Linked DNA regions of Saccharomyces cerevisiae S288C. Changing the gene in region 3 together with the main gene of any one other region gives a genetic interaction. Each region holds a gene or a part of one and is shown on either strand. Other genes may lie near its edges.

Evidence for each region.
Region 1: mutations in RTS3 (region 3) and MRT4 together harm fitness more than expected from each alone (negative genetic interaction), as found in Saccharomyces cerevisiae (2 studies listed by BioGRID).
Region 2: mutations in RTS3 (region 3) and SDS23 impair growth when combined (synthetic growth defect), as found in Saccharomyces cerevisiae (one study listed by BioGRID).
Region 4: mutations in RTS3 (region 3) and SDS24 impair growth when combined (synthetic growth defect), as found in Saccharomyces cerevisiae (one study listed by BioGRID).

What each region holds. Positions count from the first base shown.
Region 1 is NC_001143.9:423,930-427,452, forward strand, and holds MRT4 (ribosome assembly factor MRT4), read left to right. Parts: upstream 1-2,312; coding exon 2,313-3,023; downstream 3,024-3,523. Other genes in the region: putative ubiquitin-protein ligase UFD4, read right to left, coding at 1-1,946; sphingosine N-acyltransferase LAC1, read right to left, coding at 3,366-3,523. UniProt on the Saccharomyces cerevisiae protein: Component of the ribosome assembly machinery. Nuclear paralog of the ribosomal protein P0, it binds pre-60S subunits at an early stage of assembly in the nucleolus, and is replaced by P0 in cytoplasmic pre-60S subunits and mature 80S ribosomes.
Region 2 is NC_001139.9:394,833-399,156, reverse strand, and holds SDS23 (Sds23p), read left to right. Parts: upstream 1-1,538; coding exon 1,539-3,122; downstream 3,123-4,324. Other genes in the region: OLE1 (stearoyl-CoA 9-desaturase), read right to left, coding at 1-529; GEP7 (Gep7p), read left to right, coding at 3,328-4,191. UniProt on the Saccharomyces cerevisiae protein: Involved in DNA replication and cell separation during budding.
Region 3 is NC_001139.9:807,924-811,837, forward strand, and holds RTS3 (Rts3p), read right to left. Parts: upstream 1,498-3,914; coding exon 706-1,497; downstream 1-705. Other genes in the region: YGR161W-C (uncharacterized protein), read left to right, coding at 2,304-2,582; YGR161W-A (gag protein), read left to right, coding at 3,815-3,914. UniProt on the Saccharomyces cerevisiae protein: May be a component of a protein phosphatase type 2A (PP2A) complex. Negatively regulates SIT4 phosphatase, a modulators of caffeine sensitivity.
Region 4 is NC_001134.8:648,805-653,498, forward strand, and holds SDS24 (Sds24p), read left to right. Parts: upstream 1-2,610; coding exon 2,611-4,194; downstream 4,195-4,694. Other genes in the region: NGR1 (Ngr1p), read left to right, coding at 1-1,100; bifunctional precorrin-2 dehydrogenase/sirohydrochlorin ferrochelatase MET8, read left to right, coding at 1,564-2,388; HPC2 (Hpc2p), read left to right, coding at 4,552-4,564, 4,649-4,694. UniProt on the Saccharomyces cerevisiae protein: Involved in DNA replication and cell separation during budding.

The DNA.
Region 1 (3,523 bases), on a different chromosome or scaffold from region 3:
TCCTCAATACTGCTATGCAAATCCCCTTCTTCGTCAGAAAGTGAAATATTTTCATTCCCGTCTTCCTTTAAATCAATGTTATTGAAATCCACAGACAAATCCTTAACCAAATCAAAAATGCCCTCTCTTTTGATGGAAGGAAAGAACAGTTCGGAAAACTTTTTACAAATTAAGTCAAGCAACGAGAGACCACCAACCAACAGTGTACCAGCTTCTGATGAGTAAGTACCATTAGCGTTAGACGCTGTTTCTTTTTGGGCCAGGATAGATCCGATTAACTTAATAAGTTGATCATTGATTGCCTTTGCTGTGGAATTATTTATGCATGATACAACCCTCAGTAAAGCAATAAGTACGTATCTTCTTACGTCAAAGTCAGCAGCATTTGTATAAATTTCAACGAGAATTGGAATTAGACATTGAACTAGGGAATCAAACTTTTCCTGGTTAGAAATTACGCCACGGTCGCTATTTCCGGTATATTTATCCGCTGACAGTATTCTTTCATCCTCGGGAGGAAACAATACAACTATAAATCTAGAAATGCTAATCAATAAACTGTTTGGGACATAAATCAGTGTTTCATGTAACCCTGCGTTAGGACTTTTACTATAATGCTGGAATGATCGTGTTGCCATGTCGACAATGTCAGTTTTCTCTCTCAGTTCTCTTGAAAGTACATCACTACTCATCGCTAATACGGTTAAAATATCCAAACATTTCAGTTTATTCTCCAAGGGGGTATCCTGAATAGAAACTAGCTGAACTATTCTTTCGATTAAATCCAACGAAAACAAAGTCTCAAATTTGTCAACCCCATGCAACGCCCCGCAAATACCGTACATGGCATTTACAAGCCTGGTTAATATTGGTTGGTCTGTCGCATTCGAGAAAATTGGCTTCAGCGTTGGAAGTACTTCAACAATGGTCTTAAAGTCATCCGTTCGGATACTGCTACAGGCGTTCGAAACAATTGCGATAGCCTTCCTCTGCGCATGTATAGTTAAAAAATCGAAGAATTGGACGTAGATTGATAATTGGCCCGTTTTTAAAATGTCTCTCCCATGTACTCTAGAAATATATTCCACCGTTTCTAAAACTTGTTCTGCGAGGTCAATGTAACTGATCTCTACCAATTTTCCTTGTAAAATTGGTATAACGTGTTCATCAACAGCTATTGAAATAGATTCAGGGCAGACCTCAAAAAGATTATACATGCATCTACAAGCTTGCATTTGTAATTCTAATTCTTCCCGTAAAATTTTATCAGAGAGTATGGCAGCTATATTACCTATTAAGGTTTCCATCGGTATAATTCTATCGACAACCATTTGATTCATCATTAATATGTTTTCAGAAAGTTCTTTTAAACTCTCCATTGCAATATAAGGATCCTCGGAGGCATTCCCAGTATTCTCTATCAATTTAGAAATCCGCTCATTCCTTGCCGAACTCTCTGCGCTCCTCTCCATCCTTCCTCCAATCATCGATAAAATCTCGGGTAGTGTTCTTCCAACCGGGTGTTGCCCAAGTCCTTCACTTGTTTGTCTTCTTTGTTCTAGTCTTTGTGCGAATGTTTCCAAAATGTCAGGTAAATGTAGGGGGTTGCTGCCAAATTCATTATTATCGTGAGAACGTTCAAGTCCATCTTCTTCTTCATTTCTGTCTTCGTCACTGCCATTCTGAGTTCTATGATATCCATATAAAAGTCCAGAATCATCTTCATGATGGTAATCGTTATCGTCATCTTCACCATCATCTGCCTCAAAACTTCCGACGCTAGAAAGCATATGTTCATCTTCATCTTCATCAGGATAATAAGAGTACTCACCCTGTACATGGCCATCCTCATCATAGTCATCTTCTACCTGCGTATCCATCATATAATCACTGTTTTCGCTATGGGACTCATGTTCATCAAGGTTGTGCGAATTATTTTCAGACATGCTTGGCTACTCTTCTATTTTAAATGTTTATCCAAAATTTTCACACCTGAGATATATTGTTGTTAATAAAGCACACAGAAAGGAAAGTATCGATCCCAGAAAGTGGTCTTTCCCTGGGTATGATCAAAGCTATTCCCCTTTCCAACTACTGTTGGCTATGATCCCACAATTTGATTTCAGTTCAGAAAACCCAACCATTAGGACTTTACCCGGCGAAGGTGAAAGAAAAAATTTTTTTCCAGAAAAATGCGATGAGCTTTTGAAAAGTTGCAAATATTTGTAGTACTTTGGCTAAGCAGAGCTGATTCCTTTTGCTATACGTACATCACTGTCTATCGTCCATAAAAGATTTATTATAGTTGAATCATGCCAAGATCAAAACGTTCCAAGCTAGTCACTTTAGCACAAACCGATAAAAAGGGCAGAGAAAATAAAGAAAGAATTTTCGATGAAGTGAGGGAAGCCTTAGATACTTATAGATACGTCTGGGTCCTACATCTTGACGACGTAAGAACTCCAGTTTTACAAGAAATCAGAACATCTTGGGCAGGCTCTAAGTTAATTATGGGTAAGAGGAAAGTTTTACAAAAAGCATTGGGAGAAAAGAGGGAAGAAGAATACAAAGAAAATCTGTATCAATTGAGTAAGCTTTGTAGCGGTGTCACTGGTTTATTGTTCACTGATGAGGATGTCAACACTGTCAAGGAATACTTTAAGTCATACGTTCGTTCAGACTATTCAAGACCGAACACGAAAGCACCACTAACATTTACAATTCCTGAGGGCATTGTCTACTCACGTGGTGGTCAAATTCCAGCTGAGGAAGATGTTCCAATGATTCATTCTTTAGAGCCAACTATGAGAAACAAATTTGAAATTCCAACTAAAATCAAAGCTGGTAAGATCACCATTGACAGTCCATATTTAGTTTGCACTGAAGGAGAAAAATTAGATGTTCGTCAAGCTTTAATACTGAAACAATTCGGTATCGCTGCTTCTGAATTCAAAGTCAAGGTGTCGGCCTACTATGACAACGATAGCTCCACTGTTGAAAGCACTAACATCAACATGGAATAAGCTGAACTATTATTTGGAAGCCTTTTTTAATAGACCATTGTATAAAAATTTCTTTTTTTTGTATAGATATACTAAAGCAACGCTCATAAATGTAACATAGCTTCTTTTCAACTGAGAATTTATATTCATGCTAACTAAGCGTAAATCACTTTTGATCTTCACAGCTCTTTAGCGGCACGAAAGCAAGAAAAAAAGATAACACTGTATGTCTGGAAAAGAATACTATAAAAATACCTGTTTACATAAACCAATAAGGAAGAACGTGAGAGCAGGACCGTAAAAGAATTAATGTGTAAAGAATTAATGTGTAATGGTTATACTACTTAAAAACACCGTTTTCCTTCAAATATCCTTTTTCGTTGGAGTACTGTCAGTTGGAGTAGTGGAACTTTCATCACTTTCTTCGTCTGATTCACTATCACTTCTGTCATCCTTGAGAATACCTCTCCATAGAATCCTGTAAAGAACTCTAAAAATAAGGAACAGCCAATAAAGATTCA
Region 2 (4,324 bases), 410 kb from region 3:
ATCTCAATGGCCAGTGAGCGGAGTAAGATCTGTGAGACCATAATCTATGGTAACCGGCAGTAATAGAAACACCACCGACAGCGTAGTAGAAAACGGAGAAAAGGAAAACGTTTAAATGCAAAGGCACTTTACCAGAGAGAGCAAAGTACCAACCAATCATTGGCATACCACAAACAAGAACCATGTTCAACCAGTTCAAATGTTGGTGCCAGTTATTCAAAGTCCATGGTTGTTCGGAGATGTGAATTTTAGTTTTAGCTTCTTCTTTTTCTTGGTTGTCCTTTTCTAGCAGACGATCCAAATTGGACTTCTTTTCGTTTCCCTTCTTGTCGAATTCCACGGAAACCATTTCCTTGGAGCCCATTAAAGAACCAAAACCGTTGACAATTCTTGGTGCTTTCTTATTCAAACCAGTAGCCAAAATATTAGCTTCCGTTAAGTCGACTTCGTCGACAATGCCACTGCTGGCAGAGTCATCCTTTGGAAATTGGTCGTCAATCAATTCAATAGTAGTTCCAGAAGTTGGCATCTTTGTTGTAATGTTTTAGTGCTGTTTATAATATGATCACCACAACTATCTATTACTATGATGTTCTATTCTACGTAATACAAAATATAAACGGAAACAGAAGTAGGAAAGATGGAAATAGAACAATAAATGAATCAAGATCTGCCCCCATATATATATGTATATGCTGATTTGCAAGACTCGATGAGCCAGGAGCCGATGATTTGCTGCATATATTGTTAACTACTATTATTTCCACCTTTGTGTGCCATCCCCATAGCCGTAACAATAGGGATAGGTGTGTCTGAGTGAGCAAGACTCGTAGAAGCACACCTGGTTGGGCACTAGATAAGGTTTGTTGAGTGTTCAACGTCCGAAAGAAAGCTGCCGACTATGCGAAGAGAACCTTAAGCCGTTATTACCTCTGCCTGTCACAGGCGATGTGATGCTAACGAACAGCACCAGAGCCAAGCCAACTGGGGCGGTCTGCAGAGAAGGCTGGGATACCCGAAATAGCTCGCTCAACAGCTTTTTTTCTTCTACGGAAGCCCACCAGATAAGCGCCTTTGTTGGGCCCGCTAACCCCGGGACATGCCCGGGCTCGGAGTTAGTTTTTGGCCACCGGGCGCCCGAAAAATGCTTCAGAAAAGAGCCATAGTCACGGAGAATCTTGACGTGCATAATGATTAGATATGACACCCTCATTCTCATTTGGATTTATTATCACGTGATGGTATAACCCGGACTGGAACTACATATCCGCTAATCCTTGACTTATTTCCATGTGTCATTTATTTTTTTTTTTTTTTTTTTTCCTTTTTTTTTTCCGCCCGGCAAATGAAATGAAAAATGGGTGATGGAGAAACCATGAGGTTTTTGAGAAATTTCACAGATGACTATAAACTTAGCGATATCATCTCGTACAGAAAAGTAACCAAACCTGCAAACGAAAAGCTTACTTTTGTTAAAAGCGTATCAAGCTAGCGATACGAATACCTCAGAACATCATCTTTTCAGCAAGACCCACCCAATGCCTCAAAATACAAGACACACGTCCATCGTAGAAATGCTTTCTACCCCACCTCAATTACCGAATTCCACAGATTTAAATAGTTTGAGCGAACAGACAGACAAGAACACTGAAGCAAACAAAAGCGACACAGAATCACTACATAAATCTATTTCGAAATCGTCATCTTCATCTTCTCTCTCCACGCTGGATAACACGGAATACTCAAACAATAATGGCAACTCCTTGTCCACCTTGAATTCACAGAATCTGTTATCTGTTCATAGGCAGGAGTGGCAACACACTCCTCTGTCAAATTTGGTGGAACAGAACAAATTGATTTTCATCAGAGGTTCTATTTCCGTAGAGGAAGCATTCAACACGCTGGTCAAGCACCAGCTAACGTCTTTGCCTGTGGAGAATTTTCCGGGAGACATGAATTGTTTAACATTCGACTATAATGATCTCAATGCGTACCTTCTTCTTGTATTAAACAGGATCAAGGTGAGCAACGACAAGATAACCTCAGACTGCCAGAATGGTAAGTCCGTGCCCGTGGGCGAGATAGTAAAGTTGACACCTAAGAATCCATTCTACAAATTGCCCGAAACGGAAAACTTATCGACGGTAATAGGCATACTAGGCTCAGGTGTGCATCGTGTTGCCATCACGAACGTGGAAATGACACAGATTAAAGGTATACTTTCCCAACGTCGATTGATTAAGTATCTGTGGGAGAATGCGAGATCATTTCCCAACTTGAAGCCTCTCTTGGACTCTTCCCTGGAGGAGCTGAATATTGGTGTACTAAATGCAGCCCGTGATAAACCTACATTCAAGCAGTCACGTGTCATATCCATCCAAGGTGACGAGCATCTAATTATGGCTCTGCATAAAATGTATGTCGAAAGAATCTCTTCCATTGCGGTAGTTGACCCGCAGGGAAACTTGATTGGTAATATTTCAGTAACAGACGTCAAACACGTCACCAGAACTTCACAATATCCTTTATTACACAATACATGTCGTCATTTTGTCTCGGTTATTTTGAATTTAAGGGGCCTAGAGACCGGTAAGGACTCATTTCCTATTTTCCATGTGTATCCAACAAGTTCCCTGGCAAGAACGTTTGCCAAATTGGTCGCTACCAAATCTCACAGATTATGGATAGTACAACCAAATGACAATCAACCAACAGCATCTTCCGAAAAATCCTCATCTCCATCACCAAGTACTCCACCCGTAACGACATTGCCATCGCTTGCGTCGTCATACCATTCGAACACGCAATCTTCCAGGATGGCCAACTCTCCTGTTCTAAAATCTTCAGATACATCAAACAATAAAATAAATGTAAATATAAATTTGAGTGGTCCCTCACCTTCTCAACCACAGTCTCCATCGGCCACAATGCCACCACCTCAAAGTCCAAGTAATTGTCCCGCATCTCCAACTCCAGCACATTTCGAAAAGGAGTATAGAACAGGTAAATTGATAGGTGTTGTGTCATTGACTGACATATTAAGTGTTTTGGCAAGAAAACAAACGCATCATAAGGAAATTGATCCGCAGATGGCAAGAAAGCAAAGAGGGCATATAGGCTGAAACAAACCAGACGAAAAAAACTGGCTTCATTTAACTACATATACATATATAAGGGTTTTTCTGATTTTTATTTTATCCCAATAAAGTTTGATTTTTTTTTTTTTACTTTTATTATGCACTGGGGCGAGGTTTTTAGGCCCTTTCTTTTCTTAGAGGAAATATATACACATGTTCTCGCTAAAATCAGTTAAAAGGTCCGATTGAGATGGTACTGTCAAATGTTAAAATCTTCAGATTAAAATCGCATAGAGCCTTCAGAATCGGTCCCATGATTAAAGCAGTCGCAGGAAATCTTTTGGTAAAGAGATTTTATCAACCAAAATTAGAAAGAATTCCACCGGCTTCACTGCTTTTGAAGCAGAAAATACGGTTAGCTCAAAATGGCAGTACTACATCTACAGAAAACCCCATTTCCTTCTCACAGACCATGTCCGAGATATTTAGCGTCTTGCAGCCAAGTGCACCAGATCTAGATGAAGACGAAACAAGTGGTTTGAAACGCGATCATTTATTAACTGAGCGTCTAAACAACGGCGAGCTTGGTGTCATTATGAACAAATTCTTCAATCCGTCTTCGACACATAACAATCAGTTGATAGATACGAATATATTACTTCAGAATTTTCCTAAGTTAAGTGGTAATGACTTAGATTTATTGGATTTTGCCATAAATGAGAAAATGCGAGGAAACTGGAATGATCTAAAGCAAGATTTCATTCAGTTGTGGTACTACAAGTCATTTGGCTTTCTTGGACCTCGAACTCAATTTGTCCTGACAAACTCTTCTCCGTCAGTTAGGTCCCAATTCTTGAAACTTCCATTCATCGAATATAATTGGTTTCTCCTACAAAATAACAAAAACGCAAATATACTACCTGCTGATGTGCAAAACGTGGTCAAGGTGTTTCATCTTGATGATAAAAGGTTTACTTGGAAGAGCATAGATCCATTCAGCAAAGCTATAATTTCATTCGTCGTTTTTGTTTCCATATATGTGTGGTTGGATGAAAGTGCAAAACAAAAAACGAAGGAGCTGCCCGCACAGAAGAGTACTGTAATATCAGAATAAAAAAAAATGGGGTCACTCTTCATTCTTGCAGTTAAAAGTGCCACTCACTCATGATTTTTTTTTTTCCTGTTTTTTTGATTTTTTTTATATATTATACATTAAGTTATCTAAGTAAATATATTCTTTCTACTCT
Region 3 (3,914 bases):
GGACCCATACATCAGGCACTTACCCCCAGGAAGGATTACGTCTTTAAATCAGAGGATCAAAGGGTAATTAACAACCACCAGTCGAATTGCTGTCGTCTTTCTTCAATTGCTTTATCCAAAAATCTGAATGGATGTAAGTATTGCCCAGTAAGTTTTCTTGGCAAAATAACCTATAGCGAAATAGACAATCAACGTGATGGGGTTTAAATAGCTAGCGGTAAGTAACCACTAGTAGAACGTAGCTCCATAGCGTGTAATTTGGCGGCAAAATATGTGAAGCAAGCATATTCGTTATTACTTAGCTGCCTGTGAAATCCTGTCTGTGCCTTCTCTTTGCCTTTACTTTGTATAAAAACATATCAACACTGTCTCTGCGTATGAGGCCGAGGTATTTAGAGCATAAGAAAAAATGTGAACAAAAATAGTGTCATCTCCAGTAAGGCTTAAATGTATATTGATTTTCTATATATATATATATATATATATATATTTATGAAATAAACCATATAATTATAAGTAGTAGCTTGGAAAAACGCCAAAGTTGTACTTAGAATGAGGTTTTAAAAAAAAATTATAAAAAAAAACCAAGCGAGAAGTCACGCTTATAACGCAAGTGCACGAACTGCATATGTGTTGGATTGCCAAAGATCAATAGGAAGAATATATTTAGAGAAACTCTGTTTTCTTATGTATCTCGCTTACAGCCTATTTCAATGAACCAGTTTGGAATCTCTTTGCCATGAGATCAGCCTTTAAAGAGTTTGAGCCATCGAGACTGTAATTGGAAGAACGCCTTCTCCTGTCATGAAGAAGAGCACCGGATTCGGTTAAATCGCTAGACGAAATGCCGCTTAGAGAACGTGGAAGAAGAGTGTGATGTGGAAGATCGGCGGAGGGAAGGTTTCTGTTTGTTGTTGGTGCTGAGTGGATTTTAGTCTCAATGGGGAAAATCGTGTCTGAGATGCTTGTTCCGTTAGATATGGAAGCGTTCCGGCTTGACCTTCTGGCGGAATGGGAAATGTGGGTCATGGAGTCCTTGGGTGTTAAGGGAAGTACGGTGTGTCTGGATGCACCATCTGTGAGCTTTAGCTTTGGAGTGTCGAGGGTGTAACCATAATTGCAGTCATCATCATCTAGGATGGCAGACTCGCCTTCGAAAAATGGAGACGACCTTCTAGCCGGGACCGGATGGTGCAGTTGATTTTTTAACCTAGAGTTTTCTTCTTTTAAAGTTTCAATTTCCCGTAGAAGTCTTACTACAATAGCGTCTTGCTCCTTTTCCATTTCGTTTATTATTTCTTCCCTCGAAAGCCTTCTCTGTGCTGACATTGGTGACGAAGAAGGAGACGACGACGTCGAAAGTCTGCGAGGATCACGTGCTACAGCTGGTCTCATGGCTCTTGTAACTGAAGTTTGTCTCTCTCTGCATGGTTTGGCAACAGCCTTCTTGTGTTTTGATTCTTTATTCATGTTTACGGCTCTGGAGGTAGCGATCATTATACTTTATCTTCTATTAATGCTATGATTGATGAATTATACGTATGTATGTATCTGTAAGAAAATAGCCGAATGATTGATTATCTTTTCTTATATATGATTCAAGGGAACGAAAAGAAGACAAGATAATGTTAGGCAAGATAGTTTTTTAGACGACTGAGGCCGAAGATAAGCTTTATATATATGCAAGTCTATTTTTGTACGGGCGAAACCATCTAAGCCAACGATAACAATAGCCAGCTATGATCGTTGAGTACAGCGTGGGGCAATTTTTAGCGTGATTGATAAGGGCGCATTATCTCATCATCCATCGCCAATTTGGGACTCTAACGGCAAACCTCGGATTTCCGTGGAAACGCATGGAAAAATTGATCCGGGCTGTGAGGGGAGTCGAGTCAGTCACTTTTTGGCAACTCTCTCCGTCATGACCACTACTCCGCGGTAGCTGCCAAATTTGGTATTTCCAGGTTGTTTTTTGTGGACAGCCCGCGATCATATGTAAGAGCAGGATGTGTCATCCGCGGGTGAGGTAAACGCTGGCTTGCCATTATGGTTTTTTGGTACGTGTTGAACACGTTGCTTACGATCTTGGTAGGGGCGGGCTGTGATGTGAGAGCCACAAACCCGCTTCCTCGTTGTGGCTCTGGCGCTCCGTTTCTTCTTTCCCCCGCCTTGTAATATGTCGTGCATGCGTCCATGATGATATCGTATTTATTGTATATTGTGGTGATTTCGGCATATTTTAGCACATCTGTAGTATACCACAGAGCTAAAACAACCGATTATAGTCAACATTATACAGCATTATGTCTGGATACTTCAACCATCTTTCTTCGAATGCACATTTCGCAAATATTCAAGCCGATCAGGGCTTCATAGGTGATGCTACTGGCACAAGCAGCGATCATGGCAGTAGTGGCATGGTTGATTTTGCCCTACAACTCGGAGAACTGAGCCTAGAAGAGAAAATACTTAAAGAGTTCACCTTATTCCAGAGCAAGAACATGGACTTATTGCAAGAGACGGCGACGGCGTGTCCGAGTACTAATCCTTCCTTGAGACAGAGCCGAATTCAAGGCTGGTGAACGCCTGATGCGAGCTATACGTTTTGTGCTCACCGTGCACATATGGTGGCTACTTTTCTACTCAAACACGTTTGAAAAACGGCATACGATTAGCTTACAGATTGAACTCAAAGAAGTCGCAATGGGAGGTGCAGAAGATGACGTGTTACTTAGTTTATAATACAATGTGTTTTATATATCGATTCTTCGTTTATGCATTTCTGGACGATTGCTTTTCACTGTAAATACGCACTAATATTCATGAATATAAAAAAATGTAACATCATATCTCAATGTTCTTCTCCGTCAGTCAGATAGTGGCAAGGCTGTGATAGGACATTCTTAGAACGCCAAGAAAATCAAAAATTTGAACGGTATCTAAATTCATTTGTCGAACCCTTGAAGAAACTCACAGAGCGGGGTATCTACTATTTTGTTTTCGTTCTTTTGAATCTCCGCTACGTCACATTTTCTACAACCCTCAGGTCCCCTCACCACGAAAATCCAAGATTTGTAAAATATGAGCCGCGTATTTCTGCAATGGTAGAAACGATAATGTACCTATCGTACAACGATACATTATTTTAGTGCATTATAAGCCGCTTGATTCATGTTGATAATTAGCGGCTAAATTGTAGTAGTCATTCAAAATAATCGTACACCTTCATATAGTTATGAAAGGGGTATAAAAGATGAACGCTCGTTGGCCATGTCAAAGGTGCCTTAAAAATAACAATGCTTGCGGTAGTACGTGTGCAAAGTGTATATTCGCATGAGAGGTGATCGGAAATTGCTTTATCGCCCCACTAATTCTGATTCTTATTCAAATATTTATGTCACGTAGCGAGCTTACTTATCCATATATCAAAGGAAATCCAGATATAAACTCAAACTAATTCTTCTGTTTCCACGTAACTAGCATTCACATTGTAGTTTTCTAGATTACAGCAATTTATATATATTGTTGGAATAAAAATCAACTATCATCTACTAACTAGTATTTACGTTACTAGTATATTATCATATACGGTGTTAGAAGATGACGCAAATGATGAGAAATAGTCATCTAAATTAGTGGAAGCTGAAACGCAAGGATTGATAATGTAATAGGATCAATGAATATTAACATATAAAATGATGATAATAATATTTATAGAATTGTGTAGAATTGCAGATTCCCTTTTATGGATTCCTAAATCCTCGAGGAGAACTTCTAGTATATCTACATACCTAATATTATTGCCTTATCAAAAATGGAATCCCAACAATTACATCAAAATCCACATTCTCTACATGGTAGCGCCTATGCTTCGGTTACTTCTAAGGAAGTCCCATCAAATCAAGATCCGTTAG
Region 4 (4,694 bases), on a different chromosome or scaffold from region 3:
TTAAGACTGCAAATAATCTCATTCAAAACAATAGCAACATGCTTCCTCTCAATGCCTTGCATAACGCGCCTCCAATGCATTTGAATGAGGGCGGCATTTCAAACATGCGTGTAAATGATTCACTACCTTCAAACACCTATAATACAGACCCCACTAATACTACTGTTTTTGTGGGAGGACTGGTACCAAAAACTACCGAATTTCAATTACGTTCACTATTCAAACCCTTTGGACCCATTCTAAATGTCAGGATTCCCAATGGTAAAAACTGTGGGTTTGTTAAATTCGAGAAGAGGATTGATGCTGAAGCTTCAATACAAGGCCTGCAAGGCTTTATTGTGGGCGGCAGTCCAATAAGATTATCATGGGGACGCCCATCCAGTTCAAATGCTAAAACAAATTCGACCATCATGGGGGCAAGCCAATATATGTCCTCAAATGGCCTGAGAGCGCCATCTGCGGCTTCTTCAGTCGATAACTCCAAACAAATTCTTGAACAATATGCGGAAGATAAAAGGCGACTCTTTTTACATCAGCAGCAGCAGCAGCAGCAGCAGCAGCAACAGGATGGTAACTTTTCTATGGAGCAAATGGCGCACAACAACTATTACAACTACAATAATTACGATTATCACAGGAACAAGAATGGCAGCCATAGCGACCTCGTTAATCTGCAGAGATCTAATGTCCCGTATATGCAAGAAGACGGTGCACTGTACCCACACCAATATTCAAGTCCCTCATACTCGCTCCATCCGACGGGCAACCAATTCTCCAATGCTACTAATAACTTACCTCAATTTGGGAACGCGATGTCAATTTCTATGCAACTGCCCAATGGCAACAGCAATAAAACGGCCTCAAGCATGAACACAAACCCTAACACAAACATGATCATGAATTCTAACATGAACATGAACATGAACGTAAATCCAGTACCATACGGAATGGGAAACGGTGCAAATATGTATGACGTGTCCAGGATGATGACTCCTCCCTTAAATATAGCCCCGAATTCCAATAATTCGAAATCGAGCATCATGAACAAGCATCCTAATAGGAACAATGTTCCGCCAATTCATCCTTCTCTTCTACATTGATTACAAAAGACAAAAAAAGAAAATTTTAATCTTGTCCGCAGTTTTATCTGCGTCTCTACGTTCTTACGTTTCTTCTATTAATGCCATTTCAGTTACAACCTAGTCAATTGTCGATCCATAATTCTAATCAAATTTGTTTTTCCTCTATACTACCTATCTATTTTTATCTATCTAAGTACATTTATTTACTCAAACAGTTCCGTTTCAAAGTGTTTTATATTAACTATATATGCGAAAAGCTGGCGTCATAATTTCACGTGTTATAATAGCCATGCTGACGGAAAAAAAATGTGAAAATCGCTACAAAGTCCGATGACTACGGGCAGTAGCATGTAAATGATGGACACACACACACACATATATATATATATACATTTACTTCAATAAAAGGCTGTGCCAGACATTTTTGCCATACATTGTTCATGAAGTGTGCAAAATAAGAGAGTGTATAATAGGATAAAAAATGGTCAAATCGCTACAGCTAGCCCATCAATTAAAAGACAAGAAAATACTACTAATCGGAGGCGGAGAAGTCGGCTTGACAAGGTTATATAAGCTGATACCTACAGGTTGCAAGCTGACTTTAGTATCTCCTGACCTACACAAATCCATTATTCCGAAGTTTGGAAAATTCATCCAGAACGAGGATCAGCCCGACTACAGAGAAGACGCTAAACGCTTTATCAATCCGAACTGGGACCCCACGAAGAATGAAATTTACGAGTACATCCGCAGTGACTTCAAAGACGAATACCTCGACCTAGAAGACGAGAACGACGCGTGGTACATAATAATGACCTGTATACCCGACCACCCTGAAAGCGCAAGAATATATCACCTTTGTAAGGAAAGATTCGGTAAGCAGCAGCTGGTCAATGTGGCGGACAAACCTGATCTCTGTGACTTTTATTTCGGCGCCAACCTGGAGATAGGAGACCGTCTACAGATTCTGATCTCTACCAACGGCCTTTCTCCGCGCTTTGGCGCTCTAGTAAGAGATGAGATCCGTAACTTATTCACACAAATGGGGGATCTGGCGCTGGAGGACGCTGTCGTCAAACTAGGTGAGCTGAGAAGAGGAATTAGGCTGCTGGCACCAGACGACAAGGATGTCAAGTACCGCATGGATTGGGCCAGACGCTGCACAGACCTCTTCGGCATTCAGCACTGCCACAACATCGACGTAAAACGTCTGCTGGATCTTTTCAAGGTCATGTTTCAAGAACAGAACTGTTCCTTGCAGTTCCCTCCCAGAGAACGGTTGCTTAGCGAGTACTGCTCGTCTTGAGCGACAGGGCCTCCTCTTTTAAGGGGCGCGTCCTTTCTATTGTGTAGAGAAAATCTACTGGGATTTTGTATATATTTCGCATATATAGGGGTTGGAGAACGAACAACAATGCCTGTTCAGATCAACTTTTCTTCTATCTTATCAGGCAAGATCAGGCACACAACCCAACTATAATAACTATAAACACTTATAGAACAATTACCGTTTCTTCCTTCACACAACATGGCTTCTACTTCGAACACGTTCCCTCCAAGCCAAAGCAATTCTTCCAACAACCTTCCAACTTCTAGACATGCATCCATTGTGGAGATGCTGTCTACTCCGCCATTGCTGCCCCACGTTCAAGTGAACGATACAGACGACAAGGAACAACCAGAAGAGTCCACGCCGCCAACAGCAACAGCGGCAGCGCCTGGTCCAGGTTGTGCTGCTACACCCGCCCCCTTGCGCGATGAAAAGCCTCAATTCAAACTATCAGCTGTTCCTATGACCCAGACGCCATCGCAGTGTCTGTCATGTGTGCACGCCCAAAAATGGCAACACATACCGTTGTCGCAATTGATCGAACAGAATAAGCTTATTTTTGTTCCAGGTTCCATATCGGTAGAGGAGGCATTCAACACTTTGATCAAGTATCATCTAAACTCTATTCCCGTGGAATCTTTCCCCGGCGACATGAACTGTTTTACTTTCGACTACAATGACCTTAATTCGTACCTTTTGCTGGTTTTGAATAAAATCACCGTCAGCAACAAACAGCTTACTGCAGATTGCCAGAATGGAAAACCCGTACCAGTGGGCGAAATGGTGAAACTAACTCCTAAGAATCCGTTCTATAAGCTGCCGGAGAATGAGAGTTTGTCCACGGTGATGGGGATTCTCGGTTCGGGTGTCCATCGTGTAGCGATAACAAACGAAGAGATGACCAAAGTTAAAGGTATTTTGTCCCAACGTCGTTTGATAAAGTATCTTTGGGACAACGCTAGATCTTTTACAAGCTTAGAACCTCTATTAAACTCCTCATTACAAGATTTGCACATCGGTGTTCTCAATATTCAATCTAAGCCAACTTCAAGACAATCCCGTGTCATCTCTATTCAAGGCGAGGAGCCCTTAATCATGGGCCTTTATAAAATGCATGTGGAAAGAATTTCTTCCATTGCAGTCATCGACAAACAAGGTAATTTGCTAGGTAACATATCGGTAACGGACGTAAAACATGTCACAAGAACCTCCCAATACCCCTTACTACATAAGACATGTCGCCATTTCATTTCTGTCATTTTAAACTCCAGAGGATTAGAAACGGGTAAAGATTCTTTCCCCATTTTTCACGTATACCCCAGTAGTTCACTAGCAAGGACTCTTGCCAAGTTAGTTGCTACAAAGTCTCATAGACTATGGATCGTACAACCGCCGGAGTCGTCAACCTCGGCGTCATCCACAAATTTAACAGCTGCTAATACTGCAGCCAATGCAGTTTCTGCCACCGCTCAATCGTCTGCTAATGGTGCGACTCCAATGTCAAAGTCATCCTCTTCAACATCCCTCAACTCCCACTCTCCGTTGATGACAGCAATGGAAGACCCACCATCCCCACGTTCTTCGGCCATCGCGATCCCACCACCAAGTCCCGCTTCCTCAACAAACACACCAAACCTATTCGAAAAGGAATATAGAACGGGTAAGTTGATCGGTGTGGTCTCATTGACAGACATCATCAACTTATTAGCAAGGAAACAAACAGGGAATAAAGAAGTGGATCCGCAATCCGCAAGAAGACAGAGAGGCAGTATCGCCATGTGAGGCTTGCAGCGTTGTCTTTTCCCGCTGTTTCCCTCTCCCTCAAAAAAAAAAATCTTTTACAATGACTAAAAGAAAATATTGTTCATTTATATGGTTTTAAGTATTTTGTAGACATTTAAGCGTATATACTTGTTCTGAAAACATTTATATATTCTATTTTGTATATTCAACTTATTAAACTCTGACTTTTGCTATTGTCGCGTATATGTATATCTTTTTTTCTTGTCGTGGAAAATTAAAGCAAAATATGTCAGGCGAATGTACACACAATGCAGAAACTGATGCGGTTAATTTTGCATTCTGAAACGATTTAAACGAACAGCATTAACCTCCACGACCATATTCAAACGATTGGAAATGGACCAAAAAGGTATGTTCTGGCTTTATTTTCAATTATCCGCCCTTCGTTAGGGGTGTTTTAGATCATTTTGATTAACAATTCTATTTATGATAGCAATTGTCCTTGATAACTCTAAAAGTGGTAGTAAACAGACAAAATC